Lepisosteus oculatus: one gene and its partners. The protein of the gene in region 1 purifies or fractionates together with the protein of each later gene. This does not show direct contact. Links are inferred from orthologs where the notes say so. Each region holds a gene or a part of one and is shown in the gene's direction. Other genes may lie near its edges. The genes, in order: cep76, cep290, cep97 and centriolar coiled-coil protein of 110 kDa.

What was found.
Region 2: the proteins of cep76 (region 1) and cep290 purify together in Homo sapiens (co-immunoprecipitation; 5 studies listed by BioGRID and IntAct, with this or other methods). This does not show direct contact. The link is inferred for Lepisosteus oculatus from reciprocal best matches to the Homo sapiens genes CEP76 and CEP290.
Region 3: the proteins of cep76 (region 1) and cep97 purify together in Homo sapiens (co-immunoprecipitation; 4 studies listed by BioGRID and IntAct, with this or other methods). This does not show direct contact. The link is inferred for Lepisosteus oculatus from reciprocal best matches to the Homo sapiens genes CEP76 and CEP97.
Region 4: the proteins of cep76 (region 1) and centriolar coiled-coil protein of 110 kDa purify together in Homo sapiens (co-immunoprecipitation; 4 studies listed by BioGRID and IntAct, with this or other methods). This does not show direct contact. The link is inferred for Lepisosteus oculatus from reciprocal best matches to the Homo sapiens genes CEP76 and CCP110.

The regions. Positions count from the first base shown.
Region 1 is NC_090705.1:9,336,152-9,343,728, reverse strand, and holds the start of cep76 (centrosomal protein of 76 kDa), read left to right. Parts: upstream 1-4,569; 5' UTR 4,570-4,758; coding exon 4,759-4,821; intron 4,822-6,184; coding exon 6,185-6,340; intron 6,341-7,014; coding exon 7,015-7,096; intron 7,097-7,504; coding exon 7,505-7,577. Other genes in the region: psmg2 (proteasome assembly chaperone 2), read right to left, coding at 259-379, 1,216-1,389, 2,112-2,230, 2,899-2,957, 3,824-3,995, 4,120-4,176. UniProt on the Homo sapiens protein: Centrosomal protein involved in regulation of centriole duplication. Required to limit centriole duplication to once per cell cycle by preventing centriole reduplication.
Region 2 is NC_090702.1:17,387,249-17,394,095, forward strand, and holds the start of cep290 (centrosomal protein of 290 kDa), read left to right. Parts: upstream 1-3,845; 5' UTR 3,846-3,922; exon of another isoform or gene 3,923-3,929; intron 3,930-4,768; 5' UTR 4,769-4,791; coding exon 4,792-4,893; intron 4,894-6,847. Other genes in the region: protein O-mannosyl-transferase TMTC3, read right to left, coding at 1,862-2,053, 3,434-3,538. UniProt on the Homo sapiens protein: Involved in early and late steps in cilia formation. Its association with CCP110 is required for inhibition of primary cilia formation by CCP110.
Region 3 is NC_090710.1:28,114,298-28,122,320, forward strand, and holds the start of cep97 (centrosomal protein of 97 kDa), read left to right. Parts: upstream 1-5,017; 5' UTR 5,018-5,043; coding exon 5,044-5,092; intron 5,093-5,116; exon of another isoform or gene 5,117-5,711; coding exon of another isoform or gene 5,712-5,745; intron 5,746-7,337; coding exon 7,338-7,480; exon of another isoform or gene 7,481-7,524; intron 7,525-8,023. Other genes in the region: rpl24 (large ribosomal subunit protein eL24), read right to left, coding at 873-953, 1,939-2,002, 2,393-2,529, 2,972-3,082, 4,605-4,680, 4,808-4,812. UniProt on the Homo sapiens protein: Acts as a key negative regulator of ciliogenesis in collaboration with CCP110 by capping the mother centriole thereby preventing cilia formation. Required for recruitment of CCP110 to the centrosome.
Region 4 is NC_090714.1:3,117,198-3,124,994, reverse strand, and holds the start of centriolar coiled-coil protein of 110 kDa, read left to right. Parts: upstream 1-4,792; 5' UTR 4,793-4,995; intron 4,996-6,189; exon of another isoform or gene 6,190-6,918; intron 6,919-7,305; 5' UTR 7,306-7,320; coding exon 7,321-7,458; intron 7,459-7,797. Other genes in the region: gde1 (glycerophosphodiester phosphodiesterase 1), read right to left, coding at 2,426-2,692.

The DNA.
Region 1 (7,577 bases):
ACATCTGAACATTATTTATTTAGAAAAAAACATAAATATGATTTTATTCCATCCAGTACTTAAAAGTTTTAGAATTCCTAATGTTTTTATGTAAAAAAAGGTCACAAATATTATCTATAACTGAACACTTTTCACAATGAGCAGCTGGGCTGGCTTCCTTTGCTAAAATTATGGATGGTAAGACTGAATTTTCCATCCTATTAGCAACACCCAAATCTAAACAAAACCCGCATAGCTAACTCTTGTTGAAATACTTACGGGCTTCTCCACCAGATGGAGCCACTCATTGAGGTAGTTCACTAGTGCAAAAGCATGTGGCATATTGTCACCTTCGGAGCAGAATATCAACAGCACTGCTAATGGGATCCCTTCTGAACAGCTGAAATACAGAAATACACAAATCTCTCCCAATATATGTTTGCACTGCACAGAAAATATCAGTTTTATTCAGACAAGTCCAGTACAGAAAGTGTGGTGAACTGTATGTGTCGGCACACATGGTTAATCTAGGGTGACAGTTATAAGAATGTTTTCTTTTTATTGTATTCAGTATTCATAAGTAATAATTACAATTTATAAATGTTTGCTTCCTAGTATTATCTACTACACCAAAAGGAATAGTTTGGACGGGGGTTACTCCCAACTTTTTGCCAATATTTTACAAGCAGGACAAATCTACATCTTTGTAGAACACAGTGTACGATTGATCAGAAATGCCTCCCAACAAGACCCGTAGGCTTTTAGTTCAGCGGGTCTGGAATCAATCCTGAGAAGAGCCTGACAGCCTTACACTGACAGACCCGATATAAGTATTCAAATTCTTCAAAGACACTGACAAAGTCAACCCTGTGAGCTTTTTTAGAATTCACTAGAAAAAAAAAAGGAGTAGAAATGGACAGTGAATTAATGTGAACTTGATTTATTTGTTGGCTTTCTCTATATAACCTTAGGGCTCTGGCCTGTACGTTCAGATGCATGCTGATTTCTCTCTAGATCGTTTGGTTTGTTACATGTACATCCAGCATAAAGCTCCCATGCTATTTCAATAAATTAATTTGAATTTAGCAATCAGATTGGTGGAATACAGACGACTTTTAACTCAGCGGGTTAATTTAAAGAATAAGGCCCTGGACACTAGTGTAAAAGGGAGAATAGTACATTTAGCAGTGCAGGGTTCACTGAAAGTCCTGAACGCCGCAGTCTCGCTGGACGTACCAGTCAGCGTAGAGGGTTTTAGTGACACCTCCTCCAGGGATGTACAGGCGTTGCTCCGTGTCACTGATCCCCGGAAAAGCCGACACCTTCTCCATCTCTTTCCAGTCCAGCTTCTGCAGTCCATCTCCGACAACGCTCTGCAGGGCAGGAGTGAGCAAATAGCGCAGAGGAGTGCTGGAAGCAGAGGACGGAATATTTCTTTTTTGTCAATATAGTCAACCTCATATAAGCATAGAGATCCAAAAGACCAGGACAGCGATTCAACGAGCCCAGTTATAGAGGCTGAGTGTGGAGCGAGCACGAGCAGTGAGGAAGGAGACTTCAAGAGCGTAGATATCGATGATCGAGGAGCAGTAATAATGCACACAGCCAAGGTGGGCCTCTCTCAGCCAGTCCCATGTGGTCAATTTAGCATTTTCCAATTGACGACCGTGTTTGTTTTATTATCATCATTTTTTTTTATTTGATGTTTTGTGCGCAGTTCAATTTCCTATGTGTGCTGATCTCGTAACCTGTGCGTGCGCTTACCCGCCCACAGCTCAGAGGGAACATTGCTCATACCACACATTACTACACAACAATTCAACTAATGTAATGCTACTTTGCGTTAAAGGTATAGGTTAAAGGTACTTTGCGCAGGATAATTGTCCATCCAGAACATCGGGAAGAAAAGGTTTAAACGAACTAAAGCTTCTGCCTGTCTGCTTTATTCTTTATTCTTATTCCCCTCAACATTGTGCTGCTGAAAGACCACACAGAATCAGCAGTAAATCTGCTAGCCACTTGTTTTTATCTACTGGGTCAAAGAGCCATCAATGTGAAATACTACATTCATCACAGAGAAGAGAAAGACAAAATGACATAAAACCGAAGATTAAAGATGAGAGGTCTCTCACCTGAGGAGCTGACGGTCATCCCGATGATGAGCATGACAGCTAGACAGGAGGACAACTTTGGAGAATTTGTTTGTCTTGATCCAGGAGACAACACGTTTCCGAAACTGCCTGTATTTCGTCTAATAAGGCAAGAAAGAAACGATTAGACCTATTCCTGTAAGTTGAATGGTCACAGAAAAGCTGTACTAACAAAATGACAGACTAGCTTTTTTACAAGTAATAGAGGTTTATTCCATGCTGAAAAAAAAGAAGAAAGAGAACACAACGTTTCGGCCGTGGAGCCTTCTTCAGGTCTGGGCTTGGTCACACACCAAGGTCACACACCTGAAGAAGGCTCCACGGCCGAAACGTTGTGTTCTCTTTCTTCTTTTTTTCCAGCATGGAATAAACCTATTACTTGTTCCTTTGCAGCCTACGCATCTGACGCAGCTACCCACCTGAACTAGCTTTTTTACTACCCATAATTTAAACTCAAAGGAATGGACCATTGTAACTTATTATAATACACTTATTATGAAAGCCAACAAAGCTGCAGAAGTATACAATAAAAGTGATATAATGAATGCGACTTCACTAGCACTGAATGTGCGATTATAGGTTTATGTACTTTTCTTCTTGAACATTCACTACACTTCGGTGGGGCTCTACACAAATATAGTAGTCCTACTTGTGGTGGAGTTAATTACTCCGTCTACCTTCTTAGACAGGTTAATTACCCTTAATGACTTAATTAGTCTAATTAATTCATCTAATCAGCCTACTTAGCCTCTGGTCCATAGCTTCTTACCTGTATGATGGGAGCCCGGATCTGAAGGACAGCCAGCTTTAAGTCAGGCAAAGAGTACACTGTGCACAGACAAAAACAGAAAATGCCACTGACATTTCTTTGGATGTAACTTTTTATCATTAAATCTATATACAGTACTAAATACATCTGTAACACAGAATGTGCAGACTTATATGGAAAGAGGCACAGCACTTGAATTGTCAGAATGTTACATACAATTTTGGTCACTACATCATAAAAAATCATTTGTTGTTCTTTCATCAGTCCAGCAAAGAACCACCAGACATTCAGGGACTGAATGGAATATCCTATACGAACAGGCTACACGCACTGAACCTTTTTCATCTTGAACACAGAAGACTACAAGGGGACCTGAACCAAGTTTTAAACATTCTCAAAGGCACTGACAAAGTCAACCCAGTGGTCTTCTTTAGAATAAACAAGAGGACACAAGTAGAAACTGACAGTGAATAAACGTGAGCGTGAATTATTTGCTGGTTTTCTCTAGAAAAGCTTATGTTCTGGCCTGTATCAGAAAAAGAATATCCACTGTAAGTGTGAGTTCAGATGAATACTGAACGTTCTTTTGGTGGACTACATGTACGTCCAGCATGAAATTCACATATTATTTCAATAAACGTATTGATTTAAATCTACAACACTTAAAGATGCAATAATAATTTATAGATGCAAATTATTATGCATTTTAAGGATGATCTTAAATCACTACATAGCCTGAACCTGCTATAGTACACAGCAGATCGGTTATTTACAAGAGTTTGAGAACTACAACAAAACTACCACACATTCAAGACAAGCTGTGTCAGTTTGGTACGGGCTATCTAAAAAATCTAAACTTCGTTGCATCCAGACGCGTTGATGCATATACGTATCTTTGATGAGCAGAATCCGTCCACATACTAACCTTCGGCATTTGTACTGAGTTCAGATGAATCTTCTGGCGATGTGGCATAGGGATTATTTCCTACCATGGGTACTAGACAGTCACTGTGGAAATAGCCCACTCGAGGCATGTGAAGGGTAGAAATGACCAGGTCTGTTGCAAACTGTCCCACGTTTCCCACCGATACCGCCGGCTACAATCAACCACAGGATAACAGCAAAGTAAAGGAACGGAAAAATATATAAGCCCTTTTTTAACATGTAAATTAACAACTAGAAAAAAACAACATTAAGCATAATGTAAAACGTCTAACTTACCATTATAAGGGTAAACTCTTTGAAAGAGGGCGCTGAGCACCCAACCGGAATAAACATGTTTGCGAGTAAGAAAAATAGACAATTCGGTAAAATGATTTTTAACTGTACTAATGTGTACAGAATGACAACTTTCCGTTTCACTACAACTCCATGCTACTTCCAGGGTCCTTCCTTGACATGACGCTCGCTTGGAGTCTGTTACGTTGAGGGTGGACTTATATGGTGCCTGATGAAAACTAAAATGACTTTTTGTTAGACACAAAATATATAACGAAAATGTCATTATCTTTAAAAAGTATGGACAAATATATAAATTGGGTGTAATATGTGTGCTATTTCCCTTTGCTGCATTTTATTTTGTGCAAGATTAAGTCGGGCACTACAATGGATGGCTTCCCGCTGGCTTTTCCGCCACGGTTTGAAAGTTCTGTCTGCTCGTTGGTTGTTGTGGGGAGGAGACGAGCTTGACGGTTCAGACTGCTGCTTTCGAAAACCTGGAAAGCGAAATCAGCCCCCCTTTTTTTTTAGTTTGACCAGTTTCAATTTAAGTAAGCAGGGGGAGTGTGAAAGTAGTCACGTAATTAAATAAGTAACGATTTGTTCGTTGGGACTTCTATACAGTAGACGTCCTCTGTGAGCATGTCTCTTCCACCAGAAAAGGCTTCTGAGCTGAAACAGATCATTCACAACCACTTGACAAAGGTGAGTACAGTATTAGTCTCACCAGAGACGCCTGCATGCTTTGGAGAAATAATATGATCTTAACCCATCGTCCAGACTTTCCAAAGAAACGAGTCCGGAGCTTAAAGTTTGCGGGAATAATGTTGTAGCACTCGAAGATACTTATGGGCCACTTCAGTGAAAGTACAGGTAGCTAATGTGACAGGTAACAGTCCGTCTTTCTAAGCTGTTCCTGCTGTCATGTTTTCGGCTTCAGGTTGAGCATTCAGTCGGTAAGGTTTCCTCCTGGTTTTAGTTGCCCGATTGCTGTGCTCTGTCCACGGTTCTGAATTGTTGTCTGATCTCTTAAATTCCGGACTCTGTAGTTGCCAACATTAAATAGTTCCTTTGGCCTACAGTTCTTAAAAAAAAATATTTGAAATCAACTCAAGCATTTTTCGAAATAATCAGATAACCATCATCGCACTCTGCAGACCCACTGGGGAAGGCCTTGGTACAGAACTGTGCTTCTTGTAGGTTCAGTGCGACTAAGCTTTAACGCATGCTACTGTATTAGCACTCAGAAAATGGGCGTATGTACCACGAGAAATCATATTTTAATGTGAAAATTTTAATCAAGATCGTGTTCAAGCTGTATGCGGCGTTTATTTGAAGATACAGTGTAAACAATTTTTGTTTTCATCATTCACATATCTTCTACGGTAGTTTGATTCCAGCGAAGATGAAAGAAGGCCTTTGGTCCAATCCACCTCTTATGTTAGTAGCTGATTGCCGTTTCTTGCCTGAAGCCAGGGTACAGGCTACAACACAATGTCTGGGTAGTTTGATTCATAATACTCTCACCCTTTCTGGGATAAAGAAGTAATAATAATAATAATAATAATAATAATAATAATTGCTTACACTTATATAGCACTTTTCTGGACACTCCACTCAAAGCGCTTTTACAGGTAATGGAGACTCCCCTCCACCACCTGGATGATGCGACGGCAGCCATAGTGCACCAGAACGCTCACCACACATCAGCTATTAGTGGGGAGGAGAGCAGAGAGTAATGAAGCCAATTCATAGAGGGGGATTATTAGGAGGCCATGATTGGTAAGGGCCAATGGGAAATTTGGCCAGGACGCCGGGATTACACCCCTACTCTTTTCGAGAAACGCCCAGGGATTTTTAATGACCACAGAGAGTCCGGACCTCGGTTTTACGTCTCATCCGAAGGACGGCACCTGTTTACAGTATAGTGTCCCCATCACTATACTGGGGCATTAGGACCCACATGGACTGCAGTGTCTGCTGGCCCCAATAACACCTCTACCAGTAGCAACCTAAGTTTTTCCCAGGAGGTGTATCTAATGGATGTATCTAATGGATGCATGTGCAGATCGATATCCATGGGAAGATCCGGGATGTCTTGGCTGAGACCGTGCGGGAGGAGCTGGGCTCTGGACATCACAATCTCTCGGAAGAGGACTTAATACGGGGTTTGCAACGAAGGGGGATCGTCGATGATGTCATGAAGGACCTAAGCTTTGTGCAGGTGAGTGTTTGATTCAGATCAGGATTACAATCCAGTTTATCTCGCGGTATCTTACCGACGCAGAAAACTATCTCTGTTTTCGGTTGTTTCCATTTTAACTCTGTATCTATGTTTTCAATAATAATAATAATAATAATAATAATAATAATAATAATAATAAACTTTATTTTATATAGCGCCTTTAAAGGTGGCTTCTCAAAGCGCTTTACAGGATGACAATAACAATAAATAAGAAGACTACAACAATAAATAGGAAGATTTCACAAGATAAGACACAATTACAATTACAACAATAACAATAGAGGAGACCGTGGAAGGTGGTACTAAGAAGAGCAGAGGGGTGAAGAATGGAACCAGTTAAGTAAAGGCTTTTCTGAAGAAGAAGGTTTTGAGTCTGGATTTGAAGGAGTTTAGAGAAGCTGACTCTCGGATATCCTTGGGCAAAGAGTTCCAGAGCTTGGGGGCATAGCAGGAGAAGGCCCTGTCGCCCATACAATGTAGACGGGCTTGGGGGACAGTAAGGAGGGCTTACTTAATAATGAAGGAAGGACACTTATTTGTTGGGAAGTGTGCTGTTAAGTACATGATACTGTATAAGGGTGACATGTTTTCCCCCCGTGAAGAAATCTCCTGATGTCTGTTTCCCTTCCCTCTGTGTGTGTGGCCTGGATTAGGAATTGCCAAGCAGAGAGGCCATCTCTACTCCTAAACCCTCAACACATTTTGTCGACAAGGAGCCAGCACAACTCAAGAAAAGTAAGAAAGACTTTTAACGATATGCAGTGCAATAATGTTTGGTCCATTCAGTTAAATTGGAAGAACTGAACTGGAAATTACCATTTACCATTTTAATGGCATATTACATAAAGGCAAAAAAAAAAATCTTACAATAGGCAGTCTGATTTACTTCAGGGTATGCGTTAGTGTTAGCTTTTTGACTCCGAAAATACTGGTTTAACGGTTCGCTTGTGCTACAAAACTATCGTGCAGTACTTCCTTGCTTTACTAAAAAGTAGAAATGGGATTTTTTTACTGAGTGTGAACATGAAGTAATCCTTTTGTCACTGTTATTTATCGATTACTTTAAAATGAGCCTAATTCTAACTCCATAATCGCATTAATGGCCCATCGGCGTCTCCTAATTGAGGTTAATTTCTTTTCCAGCCAACATTGACCCAACAAGAAGGTACCTTTACCTGCAGGTTCTTGGGGGAAAGGCTTTTCTGGAGCATCTCCA
Region 2 (6,847 bases), on another chromosome or scaffold:
TTCACATGCAAAAAGAAAATACTAGGCTGAGACACCTTTAATCAAAGTACTAACCTAAAACAGTTTTGTTTACGAAATAACCATTACGGAGCCAGAATTAATCAATTGTGGACATCTTCATCAGTTTTTTAATGAGTTCATTTCAATTTTTTCTTGGTTTTGGACTGCTTTGATCGTTTTAGAATTGTTTTATCTGGGTAAGTCATTCCAGTACTTAAGACTACAGTATATGAAATGCCTCTCTGTAGTATAGGTAGTAAAGCTGTTTACAAGCATTTGTCTATTTTTACCTTCTGTGATATTTTACTGGTCCCTAAGATATAGAACAAACATCTTAACCTCATGTTTACCTGGAGTTACAACCACGGTAAGATAACACATATTGATACAATCAAAGTGGTTTGTACTTTATTCTTCTATTCCTACTGAAACACACAAATTGAATGTTTTTCTTTGAAAAACTGACAGATAAGCTTACATGATAGGGGTTTCAGTAAATGCACTGCATATGTAACAAGGTCTTTAACTGCAGCCCCCAAACACATGCAATAAACTAAAACCTCAACGAGCCAATATATGAGTATGCAAATCTGCAATATAGCATTTTTATGGTTAGGATAAAATAATGTTATCTTAATGTCACAAATCACACCCATATAACCAAGCATACACTCTACTTCAATTTAAACTCTCTTTAAGTAATCTTAAGACCTTCCATGTTTTAGTATATAAATAATGAATCTGCTAAAAGCTGACATGCACATTGACATGGACCCGCATTAAAAGAAGAGCAAACTGTAACTGAATTAAGTACACAAATTAAGTACAGTGATATATTTTTACAGCAAAGAAAGGGACTATTCCATGAAAAATGTGATATGATGAAAAAACTGTTTTCTGTTGACTGAAAATACTGTACATGTATAGTAGTTGGGTTGTTTTATGGGTTGGTTTTCATCATCAAAACAAAAGGCATGCTAATGGAAACTCAAATGGAGACATGGCTAAATTCTGCAGCATCATTACAATCTACATTTAACTTGGACACGCAGGTACCCCAGCTTGTAATTTGCGTTAGCCTGCAGTGTGAAATAACCAGATTGCCAGAACGCACATGTAGGAAGCTTTGTGCTCTTCATTTAATCCCTTCTGAGCGTTGCTTTCATGAGGACAATTCACAATTTGAAGAGTGCGGGTAGGGGGGACAGGTTAAAAAACATTTTAAAAAATGCATTTTAGAATTTAAATTAACATAGCCTAACATATCCTTTTTAGGAATGAAAAGTGAGAGTCTGTTGGTTTGCACATTAAACAAAAAGGTCATAATGTGCCCTTGAAGCTTTGATTATCAAAATAATAACTACAATTTTGAACCAAAACAAAATGCATGTTAATGAATTAAAGAAGTATATTGAATCAATACGTCTTACAACTTTCAAAAATCTGCAAAAGTCAGAGGAATTGAATTTCACTAATCTAAATCTCCAACCCAAATGTACTACAACAGTATTGAAAGAAAGTTTTCAAATACTGTTTTAATATACGTTTTGAAAGCTCAATTGGAAAAGACACTCTTAAATTTAATCTATTCTGTAAGGAAATTAATTTCAGTTTAAATGAAACATAAACCAAACATTTTTGAAGTGCAGAGTGCATATAATGTTTGTAGGTTCAGTTTTATACACTAAGATGTCTCAGAAACCACTATTTTAAGATTTCCATATTTACTTCCACCAAACCAGGGTTTTGGATTTTAGGTTTTGGAGCTTGGTAAAAATCTGAGAAGCACGATCAAAGCAAAACTTACTATAATGGTAAATATGTGAGGGCAAAATTCTTGGAGAACTTATAAGTGACCTACCTCTGACATAGGAGTTCCCCAAAAGTCATTGAGAAAAAGATTTTGGAGTGGAGTTGTGGGCCGCAGGTCCTTGTTATCCAGAATAGCGGAGACATCGTCAAAGACAAATCCGCAGAACAGGCTGTTCCAGTAACAGGCCACAACTACTCCGGCCAACAGTGCAATTTCCTTCCAAGTCATTGCAGCCATCATCTACCAAAAAGTTCATTGGTTACTGCAAAACAACCAATACAACCCAACAGATAAGATTTCAATTCACAACATTCTCTTTCCAATAAAACAAATAATGCATTGACATTATAATAGAATAAAAAAAAGTTAACTGATAGCCACTGGCAGAGATTAAATGCTTTGGAGGGTGTGAACTAGGCCATGGGAGTCTGTGAAGAAAAAACTAAATTGTCAGCACATGGTAGCATGTTATGTCTGCCAACGCCAATTGTATTCTGCTCCTTTCCATACCACCCATAAAACCTGTAGGCTCCAAGAGAGTCTGGCTAACACAAATCCGACACTAAAAGTATTTTTAAATGTTCTCAATGTTTTTGTTTTTCTAACAAAGAGAATATTGTACAGTATCAGCCTAAAAGCTACAGTAGTCCATCAAAGTCTCTCTAAACGAAAACATTAAAACATGTCCAGAATATCCTAGTTTGCGTAATCAATTAATCAGGAACCCTCGTATTTTAACAAAAGGTCGCTGAGTATTCATTATAAGTATTAAATAACTGAGAAAAATCTAAATGACCACATTTTCTGAAATATAGGTTTTGAAATTTTAAAAGTATATAAATATTTATTTTTAAGAAGTCACTAATCTATCAAGGGACCGCGTATTGAATGCCTTGCATTGATTTATTCAATATGTATTCGCAGCGGATGCTTAACAATCGCAAAATTAAAAAAAAAATACTACACAAACTTATATAATTAAACCATTTCTACCTACGAATGACAACCGCCGCTGTATTAGATTATATTTCGTAGTAGGCAAAATGTGTTATATGAGGCCGACGGACTTCTCTAACGTGAATAAAAGCTGTACTTACTGAAGAAATTCTAGGGAAAAACACTAAGCTTTTTTTTCTATTTCTCAAACACTTCAAAAACTCTACGACTACAGCGGCATTCATCACATCCTTACCGCTTTGTCATGCTCGACGCTAAACTATAACGAAACACACTATTTTATTTAACTGTACATAGCATTCCTGTTCAATATGTTACTACAGGTAACATATTTCTTCCTTCATTTCCGGGGCGGAAACGGGGGATTCTTAAAGGAGCGGCCTGAAATTAAAAACGAGGAATGTTTATATTAGAAAGCTTTCTTTAATTTCCTGTATTTCAGTCATTACTTGCTTTTCGACTTGTTAACAGACAGTAAAATAATGCAGTTATAATGCAGGGAAAAATCTTTTATCAGTAAATGTAGTATGAAATTAACGCAATTGTTTTAAGATTTTGAATAATTGTTTTAACTCCCCACAGGAAATTATATCAAATTAATGCAAATAATAAAAGAAATGCTTCCACTGATGTCCCTTACGTTATAACATTAAATATACATACATATAATTCGCGTTGAATTACATTGCAATGCTCCTTATACTGGGTTTCGCATGAGAATCCATGAGAGTCCCAGACCAACCGTCTCCCAAACCATGATTGGCTCATCCTGACGTCACCTGAGCAACGATTGGAAGAATTTGAGTCTACACGTATTTCCCCTCCATAAGCGTCTGGTTCAAAGATATTTCCCTTTTATTTATTTTTTTTCATTTGTGTAAGTTCACCCTGTCGTTTCGTACCCTAAGTAAGATTAGAAATAAAGACAACGTTGTCTGAGAATTTTTCAAGACTCTCCTTCTCTGTTATTTTTCTTTTTCCTCTCTAAGAACTTCAAATCGCTGCTCTGGGGGGACGGTCAGGAATTAATTTAAACTTTACTGCAATTTTTGCGTCTCCCTGCCGTAAAGCGGTGCTGGATTTTCGACTGTTTGAAGTGGTAGCCTAGCAGCAACAGAAAGCATCGCAGCACAACATATTCTGGGAGACATAGTATGAGGTTTAAACTTTAAATTAAAGATGTTTGATTTTGTATTCATGAAAAAGAAGCGAGTGTACTGTATCTTAACACCTGTCGTTAGTAAAGTCGGAAGGCTTGAGTAATAAATTATATTGTTTTTACCTTGCATTGCTTTTGAAAATCATGCAGGTTTTGATAACAATAGTCGTGCTACGGTTTCGTGGTTGCATATGGGAAATTTCTCTTAGTAAAATGATTAATAAATCACAAATTCTAATATGCTTTCCTGTTTTCTGACCCTTTTCAACTTTATGTCTACCACCCACAATACCTTTTAATCTTTATGGGGTTGCTTCTGACTTGGAATGGGTTATGATGATCAGCTTGTTTATTGAGTACATAACGGGAACTAGATACAGTAGATACATCCCTGCTATTGAACCCCTTGAGCAGTGGACTTTTTAGTCTTTTATGTTTAAGTGCATTCTGTTCCTCCTGTTAGGTACTGTTCGTTACTGTTATAAACCGGACTGCTTTTTTATTAAGCGATACATAATTTACAGTACCTATAGTGAAGGCTGCATGACAGGAGTTCATAAAATCATGATGCACAGTATTGGATGTTGCATGGATTAATTATTGTGTGCTGAGAAGATTATAAAAACGATCATTCATATAACCCTCCAAATAGGTTTCCATGTACCTTTTTTTTTTCCTGCAACGTGCAACCACAAATGTCCATTTCATAATAAAACTAGCATTCCTGCTCTTTTGAGATATCTACATACCTTTAGGGGATTCGTTTTTACAAACCTTTAAGCGGTTACTTTTGCTACTGTTGTTTTGATATAGCTTAAAATACAAACATGTTTTCCTAGATTGGAACCACACAGCTTTTAAGATGCCTTTAAAAATTGACTGGGGTGAACTGATGGATGTCGATCCAGATGCCTTAACAGATCAGGAGAGCCTGGCCCAAAAACTTTTGGATTTCATTTCACAGGTATTGTTCTTCTTGTTATATATATATACTCGTGAATTTTGTCACTTTCAAGAGACATTTATTGACTGAAAATAGTACAGGAAGCCACTAACACCACTTTTAAGTTTATCTATACAAGACAATTTAAATTTGAATCTAATTATAGTACTGTATTTAATTTCTAATATTCTAAAATTGCCATCATTAATAAAAGTGTAATATATATACAGTACTGATCATCAAAAGAAATGTATAGATTTATATGCATCTGTGTAAATAAAATATACACCGTTAATGTTAAAATATACAATGTTATTTGCATCTTTTTGATTATTTTTTATTCACATTTGTAATATACTCAAGTGACTTTGACTGTTACATGAGCACTAAATCATCTCAGTTGTAAAAAATATTAAAATAGAAACTGACGGGGCACAGATGATAAGGTAATTTAAATCTGGTGAAATACCAGAAAGGAATAACTTTGCTTGTTTACCAAGACCACAGTGTCTTTGCGCCTCTGGTATATTGTAGGTTGGACTAGGTCACCTTAAGAGGACTGTCCAGCTGTGTAGCCAAGTCCTCTTTAGAAAGATTCAAGGTTACTTTGGACCACCCTGATGGTTGTCAATGAGTGTGGTGCAGATTTGTGAAACGGGTCTATATTTTTTGTGTACAACAGACAAATCAGTGTGGATGTGTTGATATAATGGTCAGGGTAGGAGTTTCAAGTCACTACAGAACTCAAATTGTAGAGGTAGATGGCAGCCTGACCCCACAGCATTACATTAACATCCTGACAGAACAACATTCCAGCAGGATAATGCGTGTCCTTAGGCTGCTCGTGTATGATCTGAATTCTTGCAAAGTCATTGTTGGATGTTTGTACCAAGGCTACCATACTTAACGGACTTAAGCCCTATTCAATATCTGTCTGTTGTGTCAATACAATTAATACAATTTGTTACTGTATATACATTTTGTGTTGCAGTTTCTTATGAAAGGCCCTGCTAAGTGTTTGTAACTTTCATAGTAGAAAACTAGTTGATCGACTCTGTTGATGAAAAAATGTGAAAGAGAATAATAGATTTACCTTTGGCTTGTCAGTTCAATAAAAGGTCTGCATAAAAAGATAATCTTCTTGTGACCTCTGTAAACGTGTTGCAGTTATCAGGGTTAGCTTATTATGATTTCATTTTTAATCACTTAAATGCAAACAGTGAGGAAAAAACAGACTTTATTAATTGCTTGTACATTGAAATTGTTAAATCAGACTATTAGAAACCATTTGTTTCTTTTTTGTGGATTTTATTTTCTTTCCATTAATGTCTAGTCTTTCCATACCCACCACTGGATGTTGGTGTCCCGAAGATTCCCTTGCATGTCCTTTTTTTCCCATTTTCTTTTTCCAGCTTACTTCAGCAAAGCTTTTGACCTATTTTTCCCAGTCATTTCTCTGTCTCTTGGGAACTTTGCCCATTTAATCCCTCACTGCTCTATTCTTCTTGCAGTTCGAATGACTTATTACTATGTTAATGTTTTCACTTTTTAAATAGTGTTCATTGCTCACTGATACATCTATTTCTGTCTTCTCTTGTTTTACCAGTCACAAGTATTTGTGCTGTTTTGGAATTCATAGTTTCTGATTTTTGCTTTTAATAACTGATGGCTTGAAGGCTTTTCCCCTGTGACTAATGGCAACATTTTCTTTCAGTATTGTACTTTTCCTTTTGTAATATACTCCATCTCATCTTGTCTCAGCTTTTCATTTTCCCCTTAAGGTATTTATGTGTGTTGATTTGACGATGATAGACATAGCTGTTGACTTTTAAAGTTCTGTTTAATCAACTTCAATCTTTTTTTCAGCCTCCACACTACTGATTACTATAACTTTAATCATGCCTATGTTAAGTCTGGCTTGTATCTGAAGGTTCCAAAATTTGAAGATGTTGTTGTTTCATGGATGCTGGTGAAG
Region 3 (8,023 bases), on another chromosome or scaffold:
TTTTAAGCTTATCAAAGCAGAGACGGTATTAGATTCTGGATAACTTCACCCCGATTGACGCATCAGAATCTTATGCTACAACTGGCGATTATAATCGAGTTTATTAATTATGTTTGGTCATTATCTCGAGAGCGTAGTAGACTTAATTGGGTAAGTGGAAGTGTCAATGAACCGCTTTCCCTTCGAGGTTCTTGTTTAGCTCATATTTAGCACAAATATTACCTTGTAAGGAAATGCTTACGTATTTTTGGTAGTAAACGAAAACAAAACCCAAACTTATAGTTCAAATTTACGCTTCGTCTTATCGGTGCAATATCTTGAATCAGTGTTGCCATTAAGTATTTTTAAGATATACAATTTTTTTATAAACCGTCCTCTACATATAAAGGCTCCTGTTATTGCAGTACTCCAAATAAACATTAGTAAAATGTTACTTTAACAATAGTTTAAAGGTATGCATCACCTCTAATAAAATCATCTGCCTTCATTACTAGTGCATATATTCAGAGAAAAACAGCACCACCTTAGTGATGACCAAAGTATTGGGGTAAACACCATTAAAAGGTTTCAGTTGTGATCACTTAGAAATGTCTAGCAAAATATTCTGCCCAGATTAATTTAAATTGGGACTCAATTAGCAGTCTTCCCCTAATTATTTAACCTTGTGCAGAAAAAATCGATGCGGTTATTAACAGCACTCTGAAGAACATAGGGTAGCAAAGACATGCACGGTGGTCCCATAAACAGACAAATCTGTTCACAGCCACATGACAAAACTCGAACTGGCAACACCCATGTATAAAGAGACTCAAGGCAACATACAGTACACACTGTCAAAAGCTTTATTCACAAATGGTCATCGGATCTTAAATTTAGCGCTTTCCACCAACACGTGGAGCCTGTGCCTTCATAGGCTTGGCAATCTTCTGCTTCGGAGCTGCTTTCGCAGGGGCCTGCACAGGAGAAGAAGAATACACATCAGTCTCTGCATATAATCAAAGAGCTGTATTACAGAATCAAGAATCCCCATCCGGAGGATAACCGTTTCTATGCTCTGTGCTTGAGTTAAAATCTGTTGAGCAATTTCAATCACCAAACTATTCACATTGTATACCTCAGGTACAGCCAAATTCTGATGTGTTTTAGTAACAGCCTCCTACAAGCTATATGCTTGTATATTTGAAGTAAAACATCTTGTTTTGAGTAAGTTAAATAAATGAGGTTGCAGTGTTATTTACATTTTAATTTTTGCTTCCCAAGTACAACTTGTAAAAGCTTGGAAATCTTACAACTTGACATAGATAAAAATTCAAAGCAATGTGGATTATTAACTATAAGCTTTTTTTAATTCTAAACGGCACAATGGGTACTACATAAACACCTATGACTGATACTGATTAATCTTAATTTATTTTGCACTAAGTTGATTGCTATCTTGCCATTTACAATTCTGAAGAAATTTAACAGAGCTACTACACAGGGTGTTTCAAAAACAGCACCTTTAATGAATGGCATAATAGAGAAAACATGCAGTAATTAGTTCTGTATGATTAAAACGGGTGTCACACAAATGAAGACCACTTTCCAGTCCAACCTTTTTACTTTTCATTAAGCCCCCCCACACTGACTCCCCTCACTTCTCTAACCTCTTCAAAGTAGGAAACACAAAATATGAAAAAAACGAGTAGGGATGCACACAAAGAGGTGCGTTTATAAATCACTATATCATAAACTAAAGAAAACCTTAACCCTGTTACAGTGAACATGTCCTTATAACACCCTTTAAGGAATTAAAATGCAGTTAACATAAATGTCTTTCTGGAAGGTGAAGTGCATCTCCTCTATATGTAAAGCACTTTGGAGTCCTTCGGGATAAGAGGTGTCATATAGTCTGTGTAAAGAGTATGGTCAACTGGAAATAAATGCCGATAACTTTACCTTAGCACTTGGAGCAGCCACCTTCTTAGTTGCCTGTTTGGCCTTTTTGGCTTCTTTTGCAGCCCTGTACATACAGAACAAGAAAAAAGATCAACAACTATAACCCACCACAATCGCCATCAATCTTGCTTCCTTTCTCAGCAGATATCTGTCTTTCAACGGAGTCTTAAAATTCATATGAAGCTCCAGACTTCCAAGTTACTCCTCAAAAAAACTGTCATTTTAAACACAACCGTGGCAGATCTGTTGCAAGCAAGAAAAGGGATTCGACACCCAAGTCCGATTCTGCTGCAAGTTCAGGAAAAAGACTCCACTTAAGGTAAATGCAGAAAGGGAAAAGAGGGAGGCAAGAATGTAACAGACTTTTCCAATAGCCAGGGAAAGCACCAAAGTTTGTCAATGATCGGACATTCCCCTCGAGTACACCTCCTCAGACACCCCAGTTTTCCCTCACCTGATGGCCTGCTCCCGCTGGGCCTTGCGGACCTCGGGCTTCTGGTTCCTCTTGGCCAGGATCTCAGCAAGAGAGGCACCAGTGATGGCCCTCTGGAACTTCACAGCCCGACGAGTTCGCTTCTTCTGAACCTCTTCCTTTCAGCAGAGCAAACCACAAAGACAATTAGATCAGTGCAGCACTGAGTCTTTCAGACCTAGTCCGACTGTCGTTGTACTGGGTTTCCTTGGATTCTTTCAATGGTGCCAATCAGGAGGGAGTACTTCATTCTACAGGCTGCAGTAATGCTCAACATTCTCACCAAATGATGCAATGAAAACTTCCATGATATCAGTCTTTATGTGTGCGTTGAACAATTCTGAACAAAATTCACAGGCAGCTCCTGCTTGATAAACTAGGTTGTCAAGTTCACAAGAGCAGCTTTGTGACTCTGCAAGCAGCAAAATCTCATCAAAACACTGAAATGTTAGCAATGATTGTTTAACGATACAAGTATTCAACCAAAACACATAAAATGGCAAGGTTACACTAGCGTTGGTCACATGGACATAGCCAGCAGCCCCTGCCTTCAACACTTACAGACTGGCCTTTCTTGTGCTTGCGTCTGTAGAGGACAGTCCAGTTGATCTGTCGGGGATTCCTCTTGGACAGGAAGGCCGACTCGCATTTTGCATTCAGGAACTGGAAGACCTTTTGTAAAGAGCAGTGGAAATCTCAGACTGGTTGACATTACCACACCCTATTGCCGTTAGACAACGTCCCCCCCCATCAGATTCCACTTTTAAGACCCCACTTCCTCTCCACTTTTCACAGTGCACGTTTCTGATCCACATATCCAATCAGAACAGAAAGAAGAAAAAACTGTCAATATCACTAACGATGTTCCATCCACCTTACCATCACCGTTGGCCCTCTAGACCTCGATCCCTATCAATCTGTGACAAAAACGCCTGGACCAGGGGGAAGCTACACTGGCTCTCAAGTGCCAGCCTACTGTGGGTCCCAGAGGCACCTTTTAGCTACTACCCGATGAGACCTTGAGAACACAGCTGACTTGACTGATCCACCTGTTTCAGGAAGAAGTTGAGAATCCTCCAGGCTACTGACAAAGTCAAGCCAGCTAAAACTGTTGAGAATGAACGCTAACCAGAGGACAAGTGAAAACCATGTGGAAGGGCTTTTAAAAAAAGGCAGTTCCTTACCCAAAGGGTTGTAGGGGCATGTAACAAGCTGCACAGCTTTGTTGCTGAAGTGGACACCTGGCTTCTTTCAAGAAACAGCTCTAATGGATCAATGAACTATTAAGTACCAGACCCAATAGACTTCTCTCATGGGAACTTTCTCATGTTCTCAAATTTCAAGTCATTAAGGTCTTAAGTGGAAATAACAGAAACACTAATAGTGCTGGCAGACCAGTTGCCTTCCCCAGACTGTAAACATGCTATTTATCAACAAGGGCCAAACCATCCTTCCTGTACCATGAATTTTAGTCTGCCAACTTGTAGCCAAGTAGAACTTAGCAATAACATTGTCGCCTAAAGGCCCTGCAGTTTCACATGAGTACTCAAGTTTTAACAGCTCTGCTAGTGATACTATTTACACGCACAAGTTCCCATTTTAATCCGTCAGTCTCGTGGGGGAAAAAAAAAAGTTTCACTTTATAAACTCGGCTGAAAACATCTGATCTGCAAGAATGGCTTACTAGCGCTTTCACGGGACAGTGCCGCCATTAAATAGCATCTTGGAGGATGGAACAAACCATTCCTCGGAGAAGTTTGCTTTGTCACAGAGCACGTTCACTCAGACATGTGTCATAGAAATTACCCTGAAACAAGGACTGATCACCGAGTCATAAATCAAATGCATGGATAGCAAAACCACAACGTTTCTAGCTTTCCAACGGAAGAACCATGCGTGTTTGGACTGTACCGAGGATGCGAGAGCAGCCACTTTATAAAACCCCCCAAAATCCAAATTCAATCACACAAAATAATGACTGGCCTAAGCAACAATTCACCTAGAAGTTAAAACATCTACGTTCGCGCCACAAGACGTACGGACAAGTTGTTGTACTTCAGGCATTTAAAGAACTGCGTAAGTTAAAAAGATAATCTTCTCAAATCTGACAGAAAGTGAACTGTCATTTGATTTGTACAATAATTCCAGCAAGAGGGAAACCGGTACAGACAAGGCCGGCGGAACCCCTGTTTACCTTTCCGTCTATCCTGGCGTATCGCCGGCCGTGACCGGGGTAGATCTTGTACCCACTGAAACTACAAAGCTCGACCCTGAAAAGAAGAAAGACAACATGATTACAGATTTTAAAGGTTGTACTCGGCTAACGTACTACCCAAGTTGCGTTATTTTGATGGTTTTAAGCTCAGATGGCCACGGATAAGACTCAGAAACACTCACTTCATGACGGCGGCTAAGATGGAGAAAAGAAAGAGGGGATTGTGGGTAATCCATTTGTACGAAACTGTAATTAATTGATTATCAGAATACCTCCATGAAATCCAAGAGAAGGCCGCATACATTCTTAAATTTAACAAACAAATGCGTTTTTATTTTCATTTCAAACATTTTCTATCGAAATTAAACAGCCAATAAGCAGTTAAGTTGGTTGCTTGGCGTTAGTACAAGCGGGAAGTATGGCGGCGATGGAGGGGGGAGTAGAAGCTAAAATGTTAGAGATAAAAGGTATGGTGTTCTGTTCACTTAGAGTGTAAACCGTGTCACATTTTCTCTAGACCTCTGTCGTGGGGGGATCTACACACGGCCACAGATATCGAGAACGCCTTTTGGTGTAATTCCATCATACAATAAGGTTTTGCGTTTGTTTTGGATCAAGGCGCAACTGGCCCGATGCGTAATGGGTGTTGTAGTTTTTTTGTGTTCTCATAATTCCGGAGTTGGGAGTAAGAGCCCCGAGGTTGGGGACTACAGGTCCCACGATGCCTTGTAAAGTCATGGTGACAGTTGGTAGGAACTGAAGTGTAGTCGTTACTGCTGAGAGTCTTCGCTGCTCACCCTGTTTCTTTTGGAAATACGATATTGGATTAAAATAACCTTTAGATTAATGCAGCCATACATTTAAAATAAGTTCTGTGGAGCCGCTGGTTTATTGTGTTCCTTTCGTTTACAAAGAGTCGTGAAAGTATTCAATTTTACAAGGCTGTTTCTCAAACAACTGTCAGGAGATTTCTGTTTTAACTGTAAAGCCGTGTCCTGTTATATTTAAGATTGTAAACATATGGAAAACGCAGTTTAGCTAACGAGAATAGTGTCTTTGAACGAGAACTGTTACTATATTTGAAACATGGGAGTAGAAAGCCCGAAGTTAGACAAATATGGTAAGTACGAGTTTTACACATTTTCTTCTAGCATACTCTAGCTATGATTTTCAATTTTGTACTACCCGCTTCTGAAATATCTTAAATCTGTACATATATTTCAACATTAATTTAGTTATGCTATTATAATAGTCATTGCAACCACATCGGGCATTTTTATTTGGTACTCGACGGTATTCTGTTCGTCTATAAGAGTATATTTGCGTCTATAAAAACCCTATTTCTGTTATTCAACCAGAACAGCCCAGAGCGCTTGGTATACTGAACACCGTTGGAACAATGCTTGGAATCACAGCGGACTATTTGAATACGAAAAAACCTTTAAAATGGGTCTAGTCAAGTTCACGTCTCCAGATTTGGAAAATGACTACTGTATGCCTCCTTGCCTGCATTGTTTTCATTTATGTGACTCCTCTTTCTCTTCCTTTGGGATAGTGGGATAGAATGTCTGCTTTTATAAAGAAATTCCACATTCAAATCGAATGAGATGTGGCCCTGTGCAGTCTTGATAAAAGTTACTCTTAAATCCATGAATGTTACAAATTATTCGTGTAAGGGATTGGTTGGTTTTTTTTATGAGTAAGGAATCACATTTAAGAGGCAGTGTATTACATTACATTTCCCCCAAAATTCCTGTTATCTAGTTAGTGCTGACATCCATGGTCCTTTAGCGGAGACAGTGGGGGACTGGAGTGTACTGTAGCAGATGAAGCTCCTAGATGCTTGCAGTCAAGTGTCTCTGTGAGAAGCTGTCTAATACTGCTTCCTTTGGTTAGCAGCATGGAGAGAATATAATCCTTACATTGATATCGTGCTTTACTGGACACTCCACTCAAAGCAGTTTACAGGTAATGGGTACTCCCATCTACTAAGAATGTACAGCCCATCCTGGATGATGTGACGACACTATAGTGCGTCAGTACACTCCCCACACACCAGCTCTCAGTGGGGAGGAGAACGGAGTGATGAAGCCAGTTCAGAGATGGGGATTATTAGGAGGCCATGATAGGTAAAGGCCAGGGGGGAATTTGTCCAGGACACCAGGATAACACCCCTACTCTTTTTGAGAAATGCCCTAGGATTTTAAGTGACCACAGAAAGTCAGGACCCCGGTTTTATGTCTGATCTGAAGGACGGCGCCTTTTTACAGTCTAGTGTCCCCATCACTGTACTGGGGCGTAGGACCCACACAGACCTCAGCATGAGCGCTCCCCGCTGATCCCACTAACACCTCTTCCAGCAGCAACCTGAGCTTTCCCAGGAGGTCTCCCATCCAGGTTCTGACCAGGCTCACACCTGCTGAGCTCCTGTGGAGCTGTTATAGAATACTGCTGACTGAGTGGGAGGGGATTGTGCTGTTCTTTTTTGTTTTGCTTGTTCTTTGAGACATTTTAGGCAAATATAAAACTGTTTCCGCGAGATGGCTATCAGGTTACCCTAATGTATTGTGATAAGTCTGGGATTCTATCCCTTGACGATGTAATTTCACCTGTTTCCTGTTTTGGAATCTTCTGTATCTTCCTGGCTGTTGTGATGTGCCTGTCTGGGTTGTCCACCCTAGTACAGTCCTCTTGTGTTCGCTGTGTGCTCAGGCCCTGTGGTGGACCTCTCTGCCCAGGGGATCCAGAGGCTGGAGCCTTCTCTCCCCTGCCCCGCTGGTGCCCACACTCTCATCCTGGACCGGAACCAGATCATAAAGCTCGAGCACCTGGAGAAGTGTGAGGAGCTCCTGCAGGTCTGACCTGGAACCCGATCTCATCTCGTTAATGTATTCATGAGGTCTCAACCGAAAGCTCCCCATCTAGCTTGTTTTTATTCTTAAATATTTTCTTTTGATCTTTGCTGCTCTCGTCTGCTGAAAATGTGAAAGAGATGTACAGTAGTTTATCATACAACTCAACTTTTTTATGGGCATAGTGGATACGCTGTTGAGTTCCTTGAGCTTAGCTGCATGGGGCCCTGTGTATGTCAGTAAATTAATAAACAGTGCCATTGGTTAAAAAAAAAAACAATTTTTTAATTCCTATGTATGAATGTTGCATGTAGAACATTTTGGGATAAAAAAGGGGATCCACTTTACCTACTACAGAAACATAGCACCCATCTATGGGTTGGTGGATCAGCTTGCAGCTTCACTGCCCACTAAGGAGAAGTGAGAAATTAAATCACTTGCTGAATTAAGAGGGAAGTTTAATTGGATATGATTCTGTAATGCCAGGGGGAATTTAGCAAGTAATCTGGACCTCAACTCAAACTCTCATCTCAAGACTGTCATTTT
Region 4 (7,797 bases), on another chromosome or scaffold:
CATTGTGGTTTTTGGGTTTGTTTTTTGTTTTGTAGGGAAGTTAGCTTGTTTTATGTGAATAGGGGAGTGTGAGTAGTCAGAGAGTCTGAGGAAAACTTGTTTTGGATAAGTTTGTTTTTTTTTGGGTGGGGGGTCCTATGTTAAGTGTGTTGGAGTATATTTGGATAGAGTAGTATCCTGTTTGGAGAAAAATAAAGAAAAAGGCCTGTTTCGTTTGTAAAGCTATTTTATGTTGAGGCTTTAGTTATGTATATTATAACAAACCCGGGGCTTAGGCCATAACATGCGGAGTTCGTCCGGGTTACCGAAGTTAGTTTGCTGTGCCGGTTGTTCTGCGTCTTTGTTTTGTTTGTGCAGTTATAGAATTTTGATATTAAGGGTTTGTTGATAACCTGCACAAAGGCTGAACTTTTTTTTGGAATGCCGTATATTTCCAATCGGGCGTAACCTGTACTGCCCGGAAGGCTGAACTTAAAGCTCAAATAGTTACTGTACTTCTCTGGTTAAACGTAAATTACTTGTTTTTGATCCATCATCGCCTGTTAAATTGTCTAGCGACGGTTTTCGAATGAAACAACTGGAGGTCGAGTTAATAATGAAGGCGCTAGATGGAAACGAAACGGTTGAAGAAAATCGCTACGATTGGAAGAGGTAGCGCTGGAAGCGAGCAAAATGTGAGCTACTCCGTTTGGTGTAGGCCGGGATATTCGTCTGGTTTCACCGAGAGGTGGATCAATATTTTGCTTACTTGAAACGTGTAGCTACTTCGCATGAATGGGCAAAGCTTGGTCTTTACTCCCAGAGTGTGCTTGGTAGAATCAGAGACGCTTATTCCTCTTTAACTATGGATCACAGCCCTGGCTGTGAAGTGGCTATAAAATACCATTGAGCGGACATATAAGCTGGTTCCTCAAGCTTATCGGCAGCGTTTTCGGCGATGCAAGAGGGGAGACGGCAAGATGAATGTAGAAGTTGCACAAGAAACTGTTCGGTAAGTGGTGTGCTTTGTTGCAGGTAAAAGCTGTTGATACCGCTTGTGCGGTTTAAGAACTGCGTACCTCGGGAGACTGGCACGTATTTAAACGAGGGAAAAAGGAGCTGCGGGTTTCAAAAGTTGCTGTTCTGGCCAACGAGTTATTTTCGACTCGTAGAAACGCATGTATTTAAGGTGAGGCTCCTGCGAAGCTCAGGTTTACATGGTGCCGCGGAGGTACAACCGACGGGTTCTGCTGTTGCTGTAGAACATCCTGCTCGTTAGTCTAATGAGCATCAGAGGAAACATCCTTGCAATTATTCGGTTATTAGAGAAACGCTTTCATTTTTTCTTTGCTTTGCTTCATTTTGAGATTTAGGTTTCTGGACCTTCACCTTGGGTATCTGCCGCTGAACATAACCCACTAGTAGCGTCTCCACCGAAACAGGAAGACATTCAAATCGGAGACTAACGCGAAGGAGTTTTACAAGTGTCTTGTCTTGATATCCGACATGTCCGAGGAGGAGACGATGTTGGGGCAGGTGCTTTGTCTCGAGTGTAAGTGTGTTTTTATTATTTTAAATAGTTCACAGATTTAGGTAAATATAACTTGGAGGGTACTTTTTATGTTTTGAAAGGGTGGGAATGTCCTTTACGTGCTCATTTTCCTCTGCTTTTTGTACAGGTGGAGGGGAGGTCTGTCGGACGGTCAGGGGGTCTCCTCGGTCTCGCACAGGGCTTGCCTGCTTGTGCTCACTACCGGAAGGGCTCGCAGAGGCCTGCGTTTTGTATGTTAAACTGCTTCCAGTTTATATTCCAACAAACTGGTCTTGGGCCGTAACAAGTCTAGTTGCTCCAAAGCAGTTCCCCCCCCCCCCCCCACAGAGATCAAGCTTAAACCACTTCTCCACACTAAGGTTTTAATCCCGTGGGTCATTGCGGCCCTATTTAGTCCCCTTTTCACTCAAAGTGCTTAAGTGAAGTGCCCAGGTAGTGGGGAAACGACCCTTGTTTGTCGTTTAATGCATCAGACAATTAAAACTAGGCCATTCCTAGGCAGGATGCCGCCGCCTTGCGGCCGCAGGTGGGGATGCACCATGCTCTTTCACGCTCTCCTCGTACAGCACAGTCTGCTTGGGTTTCCAATCCGAGCTCTCTGAGCTGGATCCAACACTGCTGTTACTAACGACACGCATGAGGTTCCTCTAGTGGATGATGTGAAGTGTTGTGCAAGTCCGGTCTGCTGTCCCCCCCTCATTAAAGACCTGTAAATTTCGCATCCGTTTCCCTTTCCTTGGTGCGAGCATGCGTCGTGTCAGGCGGTGGACGCGTTCAAAACACCCGGTCCACACACAATTTAAAAACCCTCCGTTTTGTTCCGCGGTCGAGAGAAGGGGTGGGGGAAGACACAGCGGGCGCCGGGGTTTGTCCATGCCCAAAGCGGGGACTCACCTTCCGGATAGCGGCCAGGGTGTTCTCCGGAGCGTCATGTCCCCCGCCGCGGTGCGCCACCACCGCCACGCCGCCGCCGGCCGCCCGTCGGTCGGGGCGCAGCACCCTCTGGGCCCGGCTCGCCGGCACCGGCGGGTACCGGAACAGGACCAGGAAGAGGTAGAGAGCCGCCGTCCCGCCGGTGGAGCACAGCGGGCTCCGGGTGCCCAGCAGCAGCACGAAGAAAACGACGGAGAAGAAGGCTAGCCCATCTCCTAGCTGCAGCATTGTGGCGGACCCGTGTGTGCGTCTGTGTGACGATCCGGCTACCGCCGAGGCACGGCTCCGTGTGCCGGCGCTGTCAGCTGGGGGAGGCGGTCGGGACCCGGCGCTAACAGCGCTCTTGTGCCTGGCCGTCCAGCCCAGCGCGCAAGCGTCCTCTCCGCCCGGGGGAGTGGGCAGGGCCGGGCCCGCAGGACCCGACCAATAACAGCGCAAGGCGCACTTACCCCCGGCGGGGCTGGGAGACCCGACCGGCGGGGGGCCTCGCCCGCGCAGGGGGGTAGGGTGCTCGGCCGCCTTGACCCTTGACTGTATTGCAACCCAGTCGTTTCGTCTCGGGGAGAATGAATATTAATTTAGATGCTGGATGGGATTTGTTAGATTCACCTACTCCCCCCTTCCCAGTACCATTGTCACTGGCGCTAGCTGCAGAAATCGAAAATAAACCTTCAGTCAGATTGTATGCAGTGGTAAATGGTCCATACAGGGTTGTTTTTTTTTTTTAAGTTAAACCATCCAAACTGGACGCTGTTTGTATTACTGAGCCATTTTTCTGGGCCACGCCCAAAATCTAGTCCACGAAATAACTCCGCTCGATGAAATAGAAACCCCCAAACAATATAGTGTATAATCGTTCCCTCAATGAAGGAGTACTTTTCCGGATACTGAAGATATCGAGTCCGTTTTTGAATATTGATTTATTGCTGACAATTCAGCTTGTTCAAAATTAAAGGAATAACTGAAACTGGTGCTTTATTGTACTGATTTAGTCCCAGAAAATGACAGTGGACATAAACGATGAGCTGGAAAAGCCTGCCGTGAACTTTAATGACGTTAATAAAACAGTTTAACATTTATTTGCTGTAAACGTGTTTGATTCTCAAAAAGACGACAAAGCTGTGCCCATTTTACTAGAGCAGGCCAGTTTGTAAGAGGACGGCTTTATCAGCTGATCTGCATTAGAGGATAATTAAAGCTGCTGTTATCTGGACATAGTCTCACGGAGTGGTAATTAATTAATTAGGTGATTGGTGAAGGGTTTAGAGGTCACATTCTCACAGGGGGATCAATCAGTACTGGTTGGTGTATATAGCGCTCAGAGGGGGGAGTGGCAGAGTGTGTGTATTTGTGTTAGGAGTCTCCTCAGCTGTTCTGCCTGAGAGCCGATTGTGAGTTTTGAAAGCGTTTGGACCCTTTGAGCTGCCTACCAGGAGCTGGGGCTTGTTGCAGTGGACTACAATTGTTAACCGCTGTTGAGAGTTGTCAACTCTCTAAAAGTAGACTGCATTGTAAAGGCTGTCCAGAGCTCCTTTGTAAAGCTCTGTTGTTTGGGGGTGTCAGAAAAGCAGCCCACTTAATAAAGTAAGACTTCAATCCGTGATGGCTGTGCATGTGTGTGTTTTACTTGCAGTTGCTTTTTGCACGAGGGACGTGCTCATCCTTCACCTCCCAGCAGAGAGCAGTTCTGAAGCGAGGCCTCTGAGAATGATTTAAATGATGGAGGTGGATTTGCTTGTTGTGCCTGATGTTTGCTGTGGGTGAGGGATGTGAAGATGGTTGTAAATGTTTTATCCTCAAAGGTGGCTCATGTTTAAGTGCTGAAAAGCTAAGGGGAAAAACTATCTGAAAAAGGCTTGAAAATGGATGTGCTAATGTGCCTTGGGTCCAATGCCAGACCTGGGATGCTGTCTGTGTGGAGTTTGTATGTTCTGCCTGTGTTCACCTGGGTTTCCTTTAGGTGCTCTGGTTGTCTCCCTCAGCCCAGAGCCACTGGCAGGTTAATTAACTTTTGGGAAAGTTGGCCCAGGTATGGGTGTCCGTCTGCCCTACAATGGACTGGTGCTACCTTGAATACATAAGGATAAGAAAGTGGGTGGATATTTGTTCGATAAAATGACGGTGCAGCTGCCGGAGAAAGATTGTCCCCTGCCTCATAAACCTAACAGATTCACACAGAACTGTACCAAGTGTTAAAAGTTCCTCTGGTGCTCAGTGGACGTGTGAAGAGGGGATGTCGGTGCATCTGCTGTTGCCCTGTACAGAGTGAGTCGGCTTTTCACGGCCTCCCGGCAGTGGGCGGGGCTTAGGGGTTGCTAGGAGGCGCTGTTGCCGCCGGAAGATGGCGGCTGCTAGGGAGAGGCGGGCGTTGGTGTTTTATGCTAGAAACCGACAAAAATAACCATGTTGACGAAACCACCGTATTCGTGCGCACGTAGTATAACCGATTTACGATCTCACCGACGGCATTTCTGTGAAATTTAAGGAAAAGTAGGCCCGTTTCTTCGTTTTGCGTGTCATTTGGACGTGAGGTAAGGAGGGGGCTTTCTCATGATGAACTGTCACAATCATTACAGCAAGTTCATTATAGCGGGGTGTTTATAGCTGGGCTGGTTGCCGTTGGTTAACAGCACCACTTATTTCGTTATAAGATAGTTTTCAGTCTTTGATAATCCTAGACTCTTCACGCGTACAGCATTTCGTACAGTGGCGAAAAAATGATAAATTTTGCGATTCCAGTACGGTTTTATGCGGAGAATGGTTATTACCGTATTTATACGATTTAGTATACAGCTTAAAAAGCCCTCGGATATTTTATGACAGTATAAAGTTGTTTTTCATATATCGTTTATCTTAAAAGGCACGGAAGAATACAGCAGGATAGGAGAAAGACTGTATTTAACGAGCTCAGCCGTTGCGGGTGGAAACGCGTTAGGAGTCGGAACTGCTGGGGCATTATGGTCCAGGAGACATTTCTGGAAAACTGTGTTTTGTTTTAACAAGTCAGAAGAGGAAACATGGGTTGCTACACAGTAAATAAAAAAAGAAATGCACTAAACCACAGGTTTGCCCCCATAAGTTTGTTAATTAATTTGGAGTGAAAGGTTATAGCGTGAGTCTGGGTTGTGTCAGAGAAATTGCAACGGTCAGGCAAATATAATCTGTGTACCTAATAAATAGTTTTTTGCAATAATAATTAGTCGTTTTCTTAATGAGTACATTCATTTACTTACAGCCTTTGGTTTGAAAATACTTGTTCCTCTGAAGAGTTGGCCCGTGATCGTATTTTACTCATTACCTTCCTATCTTGGCTGGGTTTTTCTGAGGTAAAGATTGGTAGGTAGAACATTTAATTTGATTCAAAAGGCTTGAAAAACGTTTGACAGAGGAAATCAGTGTTAATTTGACTACTTTACTGTTAGTACCTATTATTTACCACCTTAAGCTCTACCCTACTCTTTTTTAAAAAAAAGCTAAAATATGTACTGTATGCACTGTACCTGTACTGTTCTTAGAGGCATGTGAACTGTTTACAGATGTATCAGTTTAAAGATACCTACTGTATAATCAGATTTTACCTGTCTAATTCATCACAGCTCCTTGGGAATGACAACAGTTATTGGAAACTTTTCCCATTTGAAGGATAAATACCCTCTCATTTATGACCAAATAAGTCTACAGACTCTGGCTGACTACGAGGACCACGCGAAATGTTTTTTTTTTAAAGATTTTTTTAAAAATTTGAGTTCACCTTGGAGAAGGTATTAGCACCACTTGCTCTTCATGCAGACGATTATATAGATTTTTTGACATACATAGTGGTCAGCATTGCTGCCTCGCAGCTCCGGAGGCCTGGGTTCAATTCCTGCCCCGGGGGCGCTGTCTGTGTGGAGTTTGCATGTTCTCCCCATGTCCATGTGGGTGTCCCCTGGGAGCTCCGGTTTCCTCCCGCTGTCCAAAGACGTGCTGATAGGATAACTGGCTTCTGTGACGCAGCGGGTCCTGGTGTGACTGTCTGTCCTGCGATGGCCTGCCGCCCTGTCCAGCGCGTACCCTGACTTGCGCCCGTTGCTTGCTGGGAATTTGGAAGAAGTAGTTAGAAGATGGGTGGTTGGATAAGTTGCCATATTATTAGTCTGTATGGTTGTGTGCAGAATGGTAACGGGTGTATTAAATGTTTTAGCGAGGTTTTCTTCGTTGGCCCGTCGGAGGTGGCCGTGGATGGACCCCCTCCTCTTGCACTTCTGACTGAAGGGAAAATGACCGCCTGGTGTCTTTGAAAGGGGGGTCAGTTGAGAAGGTGGGGCTGCTTTGTGAAGCTGCTGTTCGCATTGGCTGTTCCCTGCAGACACTGCCACGAGCGATGACTTCATTCTCCCTGGGAAAAGGAGTTTGCTGGGAGTCCAGCCTTGTTCAGGGGCTGTGTTACAGTCAAGTCAGGAGCTTGTTACTGGGTAACGAATCAGACTCCCTTTCAGTGTGCATTTTGTCTATTTAGAAGTTCGTGGCTACAAAGACAATCTTAGGTAAAGGAAATTTCAAGTTTGTGCCCTTACATTTGGTAAATAGTCATATGTAGATAGGTGACTTTAAAAATGTTTTCTTTTTTGTTTCTCCGTTGCAGTTTTTGTTCTGATAAAGCTGCCTGCAACTTTTGTTACGCAAAATGAATGCCGGTGCTCTGCAGCGGGCGTCATGTTTGTTCCTGGGCCTCTGCAGCTTGGCATTCTTGTCCAGTGAAAGACATGTGAAGCACTACAGCCTGGTGCTTGCTTTGCTGTGCTTTGCTGTGCTGTCAGGAGAGAATGAACATGGCTGTCCCCTGTGTTGCCTCTCTGCAGTTTGCCTGCGCGGGGATGGAGAGCTACGAGGACTTCTGCACACGCAGCTTGGCACACCTGCAGGCGCAGGGGCAGACCCACGGCGTGGCCACCCACCAGCAGGGGGAGCTCTCCATCATCCAGTTCCATGGAATGCCAGTACTGTCACCTCTGGTAGGGAAAGCAAAATGTCACATATAAAGACATCTGTCTTATTTACTGGGTTGCTGATGGTTCCAGAAACACATCCAGCCTGTTCTCTTAGGGATCCGCTTCGACCGCAGTGCTTGGTGGTTTGTTCCACACAGTTGGGATCAGTAGAATGCAGAGACGCTAGCCTAGTCACCATCGTAATCATTCCTTGCTTATGTCAGACTCTTTTCCCCCTTAAGGATCCCAAGCTTTTTTGCACATAAGAGGGGACCCACTTCATCCATCATTGGCGTACGGCACCTGCCTGGGGGACCAGCGTGCCCAGTACATTACATAAATCCAGACTAAATCTCGTCTACG